Linked DNA regions of Neodiprion lecontei. Each later gene encodes a partner of the first gene's protein in a complex. Links are inferred from orthologs where the notes say so. Each region holds a gene or a part of one and is shown in the gene's direction. Other genes may lie near its edges.

The links. The genes of interacting proteins can lie anywhere in the genome.
Region 2: the proteins of disks large 1 tumor suppressor protein (region 1) and G-protein-signaling modulator 2 are in contact, whole or in part, in a crystal structure (PDB 3TVT), measured with the Drosophila melanogaster proteins. The link is inferred for Neodiprion lecontei from reciprocal best matches to the Drosophila melanogaster genes dlg1 and pins. Residues at the interface, in NP_996406.1 of Drosophila melanogaster: Cys808, Val809, Pro810, Arg814, Arg817, Arg824, Asp825, Tyr826, Ile839, His842, Phe844, Ile845, Glu846, Ala847, Gly848, Gln849, Tyr850, Tyr855, Ser877, Asn879, Arg883; in NP_524999.2 of Drosophila melanogaster: Arg434, Met437, Gln439, Leu440, Asp441, Leu442, Ile443, Lys444, Ile445, Thr446, Pro447.

Annotation. Positions count from the first base shown.
Region 1 is NC_060260.1:7,308,217-7,315,255, reverse strand, and holds the start of disks large 1 tumor suppressor protein, read left to right. Parts: upstream 1-2,681; 5' UTR 2,682-2,696; coding exon 2,697-3,012; intron 3,013-7,039. UniProt on the Drosophila melanogaster protein: During embryonic development, some isoforms are essential for proper neuronal differentiation and organization. Required for cell polarity; maintenance of apicobasal polarity.
Region 2 is NC_060266.1:5,769,006-5,777,087, reverse strand, and holds the start of G-protein-signaling modulator 2, read left to right. Parts: upstream 1-1,620; 5' UTR 1,621-1,943; coding exon 1,944-1,994; intron 1,995-2,649; coding exon 2,650-3,018; intron 3,019-3,099; coding exon 3,100-3,242; intron 3,243-3,409; coding exon 3,410-3,649; intron 3,650-3,817; coding exon 3,818-4,289; intron 4,290-4,388; coding exon 4,389-4,412; intron 4,413-5,269; coding exon 5,270-5,875; 3' UTR 5,876-8,082. Other genes in the region: esterase E4-like, read left to right, coding at 1-87, 167-428.

The DNA of each region.
Region 1 (7,039 bases):
TTCTGCCTCGAGCAATTCCCCGACTAATGACTATCCGTCTTCTGCCTCCCCTCCTCATCCATTGTCAATGCGCCTTGAGTAAATCTACTCGGAAACCTTCCGACTTTACGAGCGTGAAAATAATACGACAAAATATCTGGAGACAAAGGGAATGTGTCGAAGGTATTGCCGTACGTATTTTAGCCGGAAGACGTCTGACCTGCCTTGCGCCTTTGGAGGATGATTATCACCATCGTCGGCTTTAAAACGATGACGCCAAGCTTGCAAACAAAATTTTTGTGCGGATTAATTTTAACGGGCTGGAAGTTTGAATGAAAACTTTTCATCCTCGCTGCCACGTCGATGAACCGTTTCCAAGTAATTCGTAACGAAATTTCGCGGAAGTCTTCAGCGCTTAAGGGTTACTTTACATTCCTCGAAACTGCCGCCCTTGACACATTAACGACCAGCGAAACGTGTGCCAAACAAAGACAAAGCTCCGTGAAGAGGAACGGGCGAAAAGTGAAAACGAAAAAAAAATAAAAAAAAAATAAATAAATAATTGAAGATAAAAAACAAAAATAAAAAAGAAAAAAAACAGGAGGGGAGTCGGAACTTTGCAAAGTAGTACTAAAAAAAAAAAAAAAGGAGGAAAATGAGGAAGAGTGGGTATTTTTTATCGCGATAATAAAATAACCGAGTTGGGGATAAAAGTTGAACTTTAGGAGATGATCAAAAACAGACGGGGGCAGGGGAGGGGGAGGTATTTAGGAAGAGAAGAAGAGCCGTGCAGCATTGAGCGTTACGGGTTCTCGGGTCGCAATTTTGCGGTCTTGGAATCAATATTCAATTCGCAGTTTTCTCAAGCTCGGGCAACACCCTCCGGTTGGCGAAAGGCCCGGAGTGCTTTCCCAGCACCACCGCACGAAATCCCAGGCCAAGCCGAGGGTAGCTTATTAGTCTCGTACCATTACTCGAGCTCCCGCTGAAATGGCTCTCCTCCGTCTCTCTCCCTCTCTCTCGGACACTCTCTCTCCCGCTTTTGCGCCTCTCCGCGACCCGGCCAAGCCGACTAAGATGCAACCTTAAATCAGGATATAATTCTTGAAATAACGATTAACAGGCGAAATCGCCGCGAAAATCCTCTCGAGGGCCGATCGTAAGTTAGTCGAAATAACGCCGACGTATCGGGGGTGGTTCGACTGACGATGGAACGGACCTTGCACTATACGTCGAGTGTTTCCCTTTCTTGTCCACTATTTTCCTCACCGTCGCCAGGAACCAGCTATACGTTCCTTTCGTTCAAAAACACGCTTCCTTACTCTCGCCTTGAGGATAAATTTATCGGAGTCGTAGAAATAAATCTTCCTCAGAACGTCGCCGACCGCTCCGCCCTTTCCATCCCCATTTTTTCACATGTCTACAAGGACATGCCCAACGCACAACCCGGCAGGACGGCTCCGAACTTATATATTTGTATTCACGCCGGATAACCCGCAGCCAAGTTATAAACGCGTTCATGATGTTGTTACGAGCACTAAAAACAAAAATAATAAAACTTTCTCTTCGTTTTCTATAACGGCAACATAATATTTCGACGTCGATGTCATTTTTCTTCATCGTCGTTTCGAACGCCAATCAACTACTTCGCGTTTACGATCGAGTCGTCAAAAAATAACGAACGAATCGAAGAAGCGTAAAATGCCGGATACTCGTGGCTGAATATCCGCGTTATCACCATTGAAAATCGTTCTCTCTCTATTCACCGCGCTTTTACTTGCATGAAATAAATAAATAAATGAATAAGATTTTCCACCGTTCTGCAGTCTTTACTCGAACGAAGTAGGGCGGAAGGTGAATGTTGCTCCAAGAATGGGGGAGAATTTGTGTAACTTGTTGTACCAGATTCGACCCTAGGCAGTGGAATTGACCAAGTTTTAATTGCGTGTCCTGCGAATTACGGGAGAGGGATTAAAAGGAGTCTATCTCTCGCACGTGTGGGTATCAGGAGGGCTGTGTTTCTACGGTTTTGTACAATTTATGGAAAATCCCTGAGTGTCGGGGCGAGGTTTTCACCCCTGGTAGATGGTTCCTCGCGGGATACAATTTCATCGCAGATTTTACTTCCAGACACCTGGTCGCTGAAATGTTTTCCCCCTTTCCTTGTACAAAGGCTGCGTGAATACGACGTGAAATTATTTGCCCAACCCTGAATGGCGATCGTTCAGCTGAAAAATTCTCAGGGAAAGCGACGAGATTCTTTGCATTGTTAATTGATCAGCGCTTAGCGCTCTTTGGTACTCTCAAAGTATCTGAAAAAGATTCTTCAATTATAAATTACAGCGGGAGTAAATCCCAGCTTATTTTCTATTTCGTTGATCCGTAATACGAGAACAGAAGCCTCCGGTGGATGAGACGAACAGACGTAGATGAGAACTTGCCAAATTATACTCAAACAGTCTGGAGAGTTCGGAATTCTTTCCACGAACACACGAAAAGTCAGAATACCAGTCGAGAATGACTCGAATGAAAAGGGCTCTGCGAAGATGAAGGTAAACCGAGGATGCGGAAGGTCCGAATCGTCGCTGACTCGTCGCAGCGAGTCCTGAAGACGCTCTTCCAGTGCGGTGGTTAAACAGTGTCGAATAGTGCGTTATCCGGTGATGTATCACGGAATATCGGTGGAGCATATAATCGATGACTGCGTTTCGGCGAGAATGACGGTTCCGTCGGGGGAAAACGTTCCACGGGTTGACATGGCTCTATTCGGTATGGTCTGGCTGCTTCGCGTTCGCTCGGAGATGCGCAGATGCGCCAAGTGCAGGCGTGAAGAGATTTTGGCAGCCCAGCAGGAGCACCAAACCAGCGTACAGGATTCGAGGTCCACTATCCACCAGCCGAACTCGGCTACTCACCAGGCTTCCGACACCCTCAACACTTCCGCCACCACCCTCTTCACCCTCGACACACCCGGAGCCTCTGGTCCTGCTGGCAGTTACTGCGAGGTGCACGGATATATCCCTCCGAAAGAAGGTATCGCCACTCTCGATTTCAGAAATCCTCCCGCGAGGAAAGTATCCCAGGTCGATCTCTGAAAGTAGACTAAAAACTAAGCGACGCCTACTTTTCTTTTCTTTTTTTTTTTTTTTTCTTTCACGTATGCCATTAAACGCCTTAAGGGGGTGAAACCACCCTTCAAAGCAAGGCACGCAAGGACGATTTGTTAGCTCGTTTTTTTATTTTTTTTTATTTTGTAATTGAGAAAATAACATTTTTCATTTCTCGTTGCGAGTTCTTGTGGGTGAAACAGCCTTTAAAGCGTTTAACGGTAAATACAAAAAATACGCTTAGCTTTTAGTCTACTATAACATATTTATTAAAAAAGAAATCAAATCGGTGAGATCGACCTGGGATACCTTCCTTGTCAGTCTGACCGTAAGTTTGTCATCTCGGGATGAGAAATTTAGCGAATTAAGCTTTTCAGTTGCAGTATTTTTTTCGATCACAAAGCATGTTTCACCTTGCCAATCCTCAGATCTGTAGCTGAAGTTAATGTTTCTTTCCAAGTCAGGGAAGGAAATGAGAAATTAAAGATTTCATCTCATATTTATTTCAAGTCGAATTGAGATGTGACAAGGGTGAAGTTTTTTCAAATTCTGTTAATGGCCACCCCAGTAAACAACACGGAACTTTCTCATTCCGCATTGTCTGTTCGTTGAATTTATGAAATCCCTCAGTTTGACTTGTAAATGTTAATCGATACGATATGCAAATTTTACGTTTTATACAGCCAAAATAAATTCAAATTAAATTTGAATAAATTATACCCGATGCGCAAAGAATGCGTGTCGAAATGAATTTAAATGTATTCAAAACAAAATGGATCTCTGTTATAGTCTGGTAACGTATATATACACAGCTCTTAAACTCGGAAGTGGTATTTTACACAGCTGCCTCGGAATTCAAGGGTGTACATGCGGGGTCGTACTTGAAAAATCCATGCATTTAAAGCGAACAAAATTATTCTCCATGTAGGAATAGATACACCCTTAAATTCATTTAGAATGTATGAATACCGAATCATCTGATACCTGTATGCCAATTCTACGTCGGAAATTTCGTCTTGTTTTGTATTTCGGGACGCCGTTAGGTGAACTCGTTCGCGAAGGTGACTCACGTACGTAAACAATTATGTAGCGTGCCCAGTTTCGCTACTCGAGTTTCAGTCTCGAATACCGAGCTGCGACGAACGGACGCGGAAGAATTTTTCCACTCATTAATAGTAATTGCAGTGATCTTTTGTCGAAGGGACTTATTGTTTCACAGTCTTACTGTGATTGTAATTAAATAAGATTGGTAGTGTGTGTCAAGTGTTCAGTGGCAATTGCAGTTATCCATCTGAAGTGAGAAAATTCTGCAGATCATTCCACCTCCGAGGTAATCAGTTCACGAGTAGATCGTAAACAATAAAATTTCAACTAAGTTACAAAACTGCGTTACGATAGTTTCGAGAGTATATTGAAAAGATTTTGTTATCGCTTTCTTCTCGTTGATCGTTATTACATGTATCGGCAATTTTGACGAATCAAGCTTGACTAAAGTCTCAAATTATCGCGAGTACTGGGCTTTAATAATGAATAAATATGCCATCAGGCACCAAGAACCGACGATTTGAGTTATATTCGATCAAACTTGATCCATCGAAATTACAGGTAAATATCACAACCGTGGCTGAATCGATGCGCTCCTCCAACTCATTTCTCGCTTGATAATTAATAGGCTCGAACTACGAAACGTGTTTATCGCAAACGTGACTAGAGGCAGGGCTGCGTGAGATGCAGCGTCGGCTTTGTTTTGGCGGATCGCATTGTCTACCTTGTAGCAACTAGGTTGCATATAACTTGCGTATGCGCTTGTCTATGATCTTCCTACCTATCGCAAAGGGAGGCTCTACCTGACACTGAACTGACACGAATAGAACTAGGCGACGATGTCTTCGTCACGTTGCTGCATCGGACGTTCAAATCTGAAGGTATGTCTGCGAACGCGTCTGCATTCACATCCGGTGCATACTTCTAGTCAAATTGACGTAACGAACGGCGTAAATCAAGTGGATCGAGCAGCGTGGGAAACATTCTTAGCGAAATATTTTCACTTGTGGGCAATATTAATCGCTTGGATTCTGCAGGAATTATTTAAGATTAAAAATTGAGATTACGAACTCGTTTAACGTGATGAAATTTGTTCACTGTGTTTCAGGTGAGTACGAGAAACTCTTCGCCTATGCAGATGTGTTGGTTTTATTGAAAAAGAGAGCTGCAGTGCTTGGTAACGTACATGTAATATGCATTGGTGAAATAGTGATAATTATTAAATTTCTTGTGCAATAAGCACATCAGTGTTTATAGCGTATTATCACCCTCGTGAAGTCGGTATAATTTTGAGATAACGGGCTGCACGATTAATCTGGCGCGAACAAAACGCTCGTTTGAAGGGAAGTAGAACTGCTGAAAAAACGACGTTTCTATAACGCAAGCATGTTTTAACCCTAATAGGTCACTTGGGGTGAATTTCACCCCCAACATTTTTCAAACTCCTCGAAGAATCCCTTAGTCGTGGAAATGGGCCTCGTGGCGCCGTTCGTCACGCGAAATGAAGACTTTTTTTCGACATTTTTGGCACTTTGTTTGACTTTGCCGATGTTTCACAATATTTAAACAATCAATTTTGACATTACGCGATCCTAACCTCAAGTTCGTGCTTCGCGAACGAACGCGTAACATGCTCTTGTTATGGAAGGAAGCGTGCGTAACAAGGAGTTCTTTTCGTTACAATGTACTGTTCTTCGCAACGTCTCGAATAGTCATAAGCCTCTACGATGAGTGAGACTACGAGGTCGCTGCAAGTTACGGTTCAAGTTGTACCAAAGAGTATTTTAAATTGCCCGCATTTCCTCGCCGCCCTCTCGACTCTCTCGACTCTCTCAGTTGGTGGAAAGTTTTCTTTTCCTTTTTACAGCTATTGTTATTACCATTATTCAACTTCCTATTCGGTGATTTCGGGCGTTTTCAGAGGTACTTTTGAGCCACTCTTGTGAACTATTAGGCGCTCTCGGGGAAACTCTTGGTATTTACACTCGCCCGGTTGCACGCGTTCGTATCAACGTGCTTTCGTACATTCGTGCTCACGTCCTTCCTCGACCCAGTTATGAAACTGTTTCTCTACGGGCGTTATACCGCCCGGCTATACCTACACAATTGCGAAATGTTGTATTACACTTTAACGCTGAAAGCCTGACTCATTCGCCAAAGTAACGACAGTGTTTCACTCGGCTAACTCCACCCCTTCAACCCCATGCTCACCCTCAAATTCACACGCTGCGCTTCTCGGTGACCCGCGAACACGAGAACCAAACGACGATTCCTGATGGATTGGGAACCAATTCCTCATCCCTTGAATCAGGCAATAGCCTAAGGTCCCGAATCATTCGGATACTTCGTTGGCGTGTTTTTACAATGTTCATCTCAGCATCCAATTCATTGCACAGTTGTGAAGTTGATTATTATTTCTAAAGCTATACGTCAAAATTCCACCTCGGTCCCCGTAACAGAGCTTTTCATTAATGAAATCAATCACGCTACTCGTTAGACCGACGCCAGCGAGCGAATTTCGTTTCATCGCATAAATGATGATGTTAAATCGTCAATTTGACTATGAAAGTCAAAAAAAAAAAAAAATAATAAAAAAAAATTCTCAGCCACAAACAATTCATCTGTATATTACGTTTACGATTGATTGAATTCCATTGGGACAAACATGCTTCCATTTTTTCTCCTTCCAAGCCCCCTTCAAAAAAATAAAAAATTATCATGATCTCGTTTGAAAATAGACTATGTTTACATCATTTGGAAAGAAAAACAATTATCCTAAGCAAAAACGAATCACTTCTCGGAGTCATTTGTTCTCAACGAAATGAAATTCGCGCGAATTTGCCGCTCTCGCAGTCATCCGGTAAAGCGTGTGCAGTTCAGGTAGCCACCCGCAGGTATAACATGTCAAG
Region 2 (8,082 bases), on another chromosome or scaffold:
ACTAAATTTGAACAAAACCACGACCAGAAGAGATTTGGAAATCGTAGACATCATGGTTCAGTTGTGGACCTCCTTTGCAACCAATGGGTAAACCGTTACTAATCAGTAAATTGCTATTATTTCACTAATTTAATTGGCAAAGTGTGTTAAAGAATTGATTTTTCAGAACACCGACGACTTTGGCTTCAAACGGCACAATATGGAAACCATTTTCGGCTGTAGAGAGAAACTATCTTCAAATAGGAAACGGATCTGAAGTTTCGCTCAAAGTTCAGCATTCTTTCTTTGAGGAGCGAATGAAATTTTGGGCTACCTTAAAAGAAACTCCAAAGACCTTAACTGTCCTATCAAACGGCTCAAATGCCATAACATCCAAATTTTATTCATTATTCGTACTTATGTTATCTTTTTCAAAGATATTTTTGTAACAGCGATGAAGAAATGGATAAAAAAATGGAGTCTTTGGCAGACAACTGAAATATAAACCTCAGTATAATCAGTATTAAATAAATAGTAGAGTCACGACGAAAGGGGGATGTTCGTTAGTTTTATTCCATCTTGTGATATTTCCAACAGTTATGTGAATCTTCTGATTAAAAAATGCTGACACTCACGCCCATTTTCTCCGATACAGTTTGAACGGCGTTCAATTTCTTCTGTAAGGCTTGGAGCTAGGCTGAACTTAGTTTAAACTTCGATTACCGTTGCAGGATTCGGATCTTTTTAGAGTTGGGTTAGCTAGCACTAGTATGGAATAATCATAAGCAATAAGCATGGATATGGTCATTCCAGTCAGATCTTACATCCTATGCATACTGAGTGCGATTTTTCTAGAATTTTTCTTCTGCTATTGGTTAAAAACTAGAGAAAGCGCAGTTGTTGCGACGATTATACAACCGTGGTCGTTGCGCTCCGTGTGCAACCAGTGAAAAGCGCTTACTACTAGAGAGTTACTACGTTTACGTACGATCGTTTCACACATTATGCGTTGATTATATGTATAATTTGTACCATGCTTATGCACACCACTAATAATCTGTACATTGTATAAACGGCGCATGATGCTTTAATAAAATTAAACAAAATTATTAAACTGTACAAGTTAAACACACTAAAAGTGCAGGAAGGATGGGTAAACTTAGTGAATTATAATATGTTTTTGCTGTTCGACGTGAAACATCATTTCTGAACCTCAAATAGTTTATATTAAGGGTGCGTTCAGAAACTAGGTGGCAGTGCTAAGAACTCCCTAGGACAAGGACAGAGCTACTCCCCAACGCGAAAGCGCAAAAGCGATAAAAGATGATTAACACTTGGAGCCAATTTCGGAACACAACCTGTAATTCAGTCAGTGCATTGCATACGAGACTCAGGGTGCGTTCCGATATTACCTTCCATTGCTGTTAACAATATTTTATTTTTTTTGCATTGTCGAGTTCATCAGTAGCTCTGCCTTTGTCCTAGGGAACTGTTAGCGCTGCCACCCAATTTCGGAACGCACCCCTGTATACAACGTGAACACCACGAATACGACCGTTTGCATTCAGAGCCGTCTGGTTACAGTGATGCGTACTACAAGCCGGCCCCAAACCCCCCAAACTAAATTGAATAGGAAATTGTACGCGAAGTCGCAAACGCGCCATAGTGTCGATGCGCGGTTAGGGTGACGCGTTGATATCCGTGTGAATTTGCCGTAAACAAGTGAGAGTGTTGGTATAACAATAAATAATTTTTATTTACCGCAACAACTAATAGATAATTTCCAAAAAAAATGCTAAACTGTATTGATTCGACCTTTCTAATTGACGATCTATTGACGAAGGGGAGTGCCTCGTACACGTAAAGCTTAGCTCACGTCAAATTACACTTAACAATTCGTCGCCAGATAACAAATTGTTTATTCTTACCTTCAAAAATCCTTATAACCTGCTAGTACTCGACCAATGAAAATGTCGCACAGTGCGAGCGCGGAAAATCTTTCAGTAGACGGTCAAGTAAGTGAATCACATGTCCTTTTCTACCTCATTATTTGTCACTTGTCACTTAAATTCTTCAGTATATATATATATATATATGAGCCTTACCTACGTGCACTGAGTCATATGGGCATTTATTATGCTGTTCACAGAGAATTCTTTCCCACTTGTCATAGGATACACTGCCTTCCTAATCCTCTTACATTTTGCATTTTTCTCAAAATGAAAATTAAACTTCACCTCTTATTCCTGCAAAAAATTAATATAATCAAGTACTTTACTATTTTTTTTTGTTTATTCACTTGTTATTAACGGTAACTAAACTTAATCTCCCTCATCATGCGTCTCGTTACATTATTCTAGTCAAAATAACTCTGAACCCCAATTTGACTTACGTAACAATTTGATTTTCAATTAGAGAACGATACCCTATTTATGTTCGTTACAATAAGCTGGATTATGAGATTTACAGGAACAATATTGCTGTTCTACTAAACAATTTCAAGTGAAGCAAAATTGCCATATACTCTATATCCTCAATAAATTGGTAAAAATAGAGTAAATGCAGAAGAATACCTTGTAACTCGCGTTTAATCGTTGCTTTTAATACTTTACCAACATTAATTAATTGGCTAAACTATGTAAAAACATAAAACGAGTTTGTCCTTTACAGAATAGCGGGGGAGATAGCAACATGTGTTTGGAATTGGCCCTTGAAGGCGAGCGTCTTTGCAAGGAGGGCGATTGCCGCACAGGTGTTGCATTTTTTCAAGCAGCAATACAGGCTGGAACGGACGACCTAAGAACGTTGAGCGCGATCTACAGCCAACTTGGAAATGCTTACTTTTATCTTGGCGATTACGTCAAAGCAATGCAGTATCACAACCATGATTTAACATTGGCAAGAACTATGGGAGATAAATTAGGGGAAGCTAAATCGAGCGGAAATCTTGGAAATACTCTGAAAGTTATGGGAAAGTTTGACGAAGCTACGATATGCTGTAAAAGGCATTTAGAAATATCGAGGGAACTAGGCGATAAGGTAAGATTTTTTATTCACCTCTGTTCCGCTCTTCCTTCCTCATGCATTCTCATTTTTAATCAAGCATTTTTTATGCATCAGCTCAGCGAAGGTCGAGCTCTTTACAATCTCGGAAATGTTTATCACGCCAAGGGTAAACAAATTGGCAGAGTCGGACAGCAAGATCCAGGAGAATTTCCTGAGGATGTCAGACAGTGTCTTCAGGAAGCTGTTCATTACTACGAGTATGTTACTTTTACATCTATAGAATAGCTTGTCTTCAAATTCAGTAATATTATATACGTACTGGATACCGCGGCTTTTTAATATTTTTTGCTCTGAAATGAATGCGTTGCAGTAGTGGCAACATTTTAGTATCCAATTACCTGATTGAACAATTGTGATTTCCTAGAGAAAATTTGAAGCTGATGAGAGAGTTGAGCGATACAGCTGCACAAGGGAGAGCATGTGGAAACTTGGGAAACACATTTTACTTGCTGGGTGATTTTCAACAAGCAATTCATTACCACAATGAAAGATTAAAAATTGCACGAGAGTTTGGTGATAAAGCTGCGGAAAGACGAGCCAACAGCAATTTGGGGAACTCGCATATATTTCTCGGAGAATTTGAAAAAGCAGCTCAACATTACAAGTAAGTTATCAGCGGGTTGAAGCCGAAGAACTTTGAAATTTTGTTATACCACAGGTTGATAACTCCTGATCCATTTTCAGAGAAACTGCTATTGAACTGTACAAAATTTCTCAAGGTGCGTTACTTCGTTACATGTTAAAATAATTAAAATTCAAAATTTGTTCACAGACGTACGCTGGTCCTTGCTCAAGAATTGCGTGACCGAGCGGTAGAAGCACAAGCGTGTTATTCCCTTGGCAATACCTACACGCTCCTCCGCGATTACCAAGCTGCTGTAGACTACCATCTCCGTCATCTTTCCATTGCGCAACAGCTGATGGATCGAGTTGGAGAAGGTCGAGCCTGTTGGTCGTTGGGAAATGCTTACTCAGCAATGGGTAACCATGAGAAAGCGTTGCACTTTGCCAGCCTACATTTGAATATTTCTAAAGAGTTGAACGATCCAATGGGTCAAGCTACCGCTCAGATGAACGTTACCGATCTGAAGAAACTTTTAGGCTTAGAAAAAGGGGACGGAGAAGCGGAGAGTGGAAACGGAATGCATTTAATCCCAACGAGCAAAGCCTCGGCTATAGCGGCTTCTTCGCCAGGTAGATACAGGTTGAGAAGACAGAGCATGGACAATCTGGATCTGATCAAGGTGAGCGATAGAATGTTTTTGTTCAATGCATCTCTAGACTGCAAATAGTTCTAAAATAACCGAATTTATTGTAATTATTCGGTATTTCCTTGCATATAGTTATTTACAAGGACCATGGAACCGGTAATACTTTCTTCTTTGAACAAAGATTATTGTGTATTAATATGTAGAATAACCAGATAGAAGTAAAACTACCAATTTTCAGTAAACAATACAACGTTCGAAGAGTCTGGTAATATAGAAAATAACTGTCGAAAAACCCCAGTGATTTTTCTTTGCAAGGCAATATCAAGGAAATTTTTTTATGAAAATTTTTCTTTGCACACATTTCACAAATATCATTTTTTCTCCAATCTTGTCCTATCTTGTTGTTCCATTCATTATGCATAGAATCTATAAGGCAACATAAAGTTGAGTATTGAATAACAGAAAGTTATTCAGTAAGAACAGTATCAGTTTTCATTTTAACATTTTATTATAATTTTGAGAAATATCGAATAACCTTGTTAATTAGAGTAATTGACGGTATGGATGGAATAGCTAATTGTAAGTCAATTTAACTATTTTTCCGGTGATCAGTTCAGGAAAAATGTATGGCCCAACTCTATAGGTTGTGTTACTTTACTTCTTGTGACCAGAAAACAAAGGTCACAACAGAATAATATTTTTAGACCATGAAAACATATCGTTCTAAAAATCATCACACGTCAAGCTTTCCTAACAATTCCTGTTAAACCTCTTATTAAACATTAGCATTTTCAAATTTTGTGCAAAGCATCTTCAACTCAAGTAAAACCATTGTCGCAAAAGATTTAAATTGGCTACCTTCAGATTCAGCTCATGTTACAATGCTTATACATTTCAGAAAACGAAGACGTTGATCAACATGTATTATTGACTGAAAATTGATAAATTTTCCCTTTATCCATCATGTATACAATCTGAAGTTATTGTAATTCATTATCCAAATTTTTATCCAGTTGACTCCAGATGGTAAGCAAAAAGATATGGGTGAGCCTCTGCCTGCTAGAGCCGGAATCGCACCACAGCCTTCGCAAGAAGAAGAAGAAGAATCTTTCTTCGAACTTCTATCACGATTTCAATCAGGTCGAATGGATGATCAGCGCTGTGTGCTAAATGCCAATCAAAAACCGAGACCCAGGCCAAGAGTGGCGACTCCAGAAAAAGAGAAAGAAGGAGAAGATTTACTGGAGCTAATAGCTGGAATGCAAAGTAAGCGAATGGATGAGCAGCGTGTAACTCTGCCTTGCTTGCCAGGATTGAATACAAACAGGAACAATCAGTCAGCGAATAGGCCTCCCCCACAGCCAATTGGGCAGGAAGCTGATGATTCATTTATTGAAATGCTGGTGCGATGCCAAGGCTCACGTTTAGAGGATCAACGTAGTCCTTTGCCAGCTGCTTCAACATTACACGATGCAGAGGAGGAACAAAACCAAAGAAGAAACGGAAACACCCCATCAAGAACTACCGTACCCGAAGAAGATCTGTTTGCCCTAATTCAGAGACTGCAGGCTGGTCGCATGGAAGATCAACGAGCTTCTGGACCAGCAAAAGGCCATTAAAACTGTAAGTAAGTATACCAACTATTTGATGAAAATAATAATAAATTAATACTAAGCAATCTTTGAAAAAATAACATTTTGGAAAGGTATCACCACTGTATAATCAACATGAGTAACTACAAATTTTCGGTGTAACCATTTGAATTTTGTAAAAATCAACTCATGGTGATTACAAATGATATGTTCAAAAATGTTACATTTACAATGTAATCAATGGCTAGGTGGTCGATAAAAATTTGTACAATAGATTCTTTATAAGTTCTCGCATGCTAATTTCCTCTCTTTTCACAAAATAGTCAATCGGGTGACTTTTCTTCTACCTACAATTGTGTGGTGCTCCCTAAAGTTTAATTAAAACTCTGTGTCCTGTCCAAATCGCATTTCGACCCTTCAAATAGGATGGTTTGTTTTCTGCCCAACTTTGCTTCTTTGACCACAGTTTGTCACATTAAAAAGAAACATTTTGATATCTTCCATGTTATTTACATCAAAAGGAGATATTTTGTCACAAGGTTATGGTGAAAATTTAGTAAACTAGTGCCGTGAACCAAATATAATACTTTTATGGAAAGCAAAATCAAACGACACTATCAAATTTCTTAAACCACCTAATAATTGATTATTTATCATTGAAATCGTGCCAAAAAAGTATCATGAGACTCTTGGATAAACGGACATATACTGAGATGTAAGTCAGAGTACTGCACAAGAGATTACAATTATCTTTGTGATAGATGTGTATAAAATTGTATAAATGCTGCGACAAAATCTATTAACAGTAAAATATATGTAGAAAACGTTAGAAAAATGTGGAGTAGGATACTGATCGGTTTTGTTGACTTTTTTCAACACCGTTACAATGAATCTTGAATATTTTGTTTCTCATTCACAATCCAAAAGAGTAGTGCATAAGGATTATCATTCAAACATAAAAAATAAAGGTACTACTAGATATGTACCTATATCCAATGCAGGAATCGAATGAACCGAAAGCCATAAAGCTAATATAGTTAAAGTAGTATTATTAATATGAAAAGTAAGTTAATCAATTTATTACTTCTACGTTTTGTCTGTAATAGGTCTCTTTTTTTCTTTTTGTCCCATTTGAGCGTCAGCAAATTTCTTCAACAGCCTAACTCTAGAAATCCAGCTTCTTAATTGTAAAAATATGTATTCGCCCTTGTAATTGGTGGTATGTACATACGTAGTATTATGTACATTCAATGCAGTTTTCCGAATTCATTACTATACTAAATTTCGATTACTTTTCGTTATATTGATTTGAAACATTATATAAAATTCAAACTAACATTTGATGCCACTCCGGATATTACATGATGAAAGCACATGCAAAACAGTAGACATTTGCAGTAATCAGTTATCTTCATAGACAAATCCCATCGGATAGCGTAGTGTTGTCTTGACGGTGCTAAGATCACTAAATAAAATACCATATTACATTTATTATTAATCGTTCCAAAGTACTGATTAAATTTATTCTTCACAGAGAATATATAGTAAAGAATCCTTTTTCGTATTTCGTAATTTTTTTTCGAATGAGGTAGTTTTTCCAACGCATGTATATTTTAATAATTAGGACGCACAATCTACTGTTTGTTGTTATTGCTAAAAATATACTCAGAGATAGTTGTCATTAAAATATTTACAGCCTTGTCGCTAACTTAAGTGGCAAAGAAATTAAATTTGAGAGTAAATCAAATGTGTGTTTCTTCCTTCAGATGAAATTTACTCTCCATGTTAACTGTTTAGCTGTCATTCAACAAGCCAAGTTATAGTATCCAATATGGATTAAATTTTATTGTAAAGCTATGAAATTCATAATGCGAACTATGCATAGACGAAACGATCAAACTTTTTAAAGCAAATGCCTTTTTATGCCTGCTATATATTTATAACACGTTACTGGAAATAAGTTCTGAGATGTGGACTTTGTTCAAAGACTGAACGAGTGTTTAATTAAGATGGCAAATGAAAAGAAATCGATTCTTAAACGCAGGAAGAAGCATTTTGATTCACGAAATTTATGGGTTCCGTAATAGTGAAGGTAAAACTTCGATTGTTGAAGTAAATTAATAATTCATTTTCCTAAACTGCTATAAAATTGAAAGATAATCTAACTGACTAGTATACGAACTTTTTGATCAATTATATAAACAAACTTCAATTGTAATAATAAGAAGGTATTG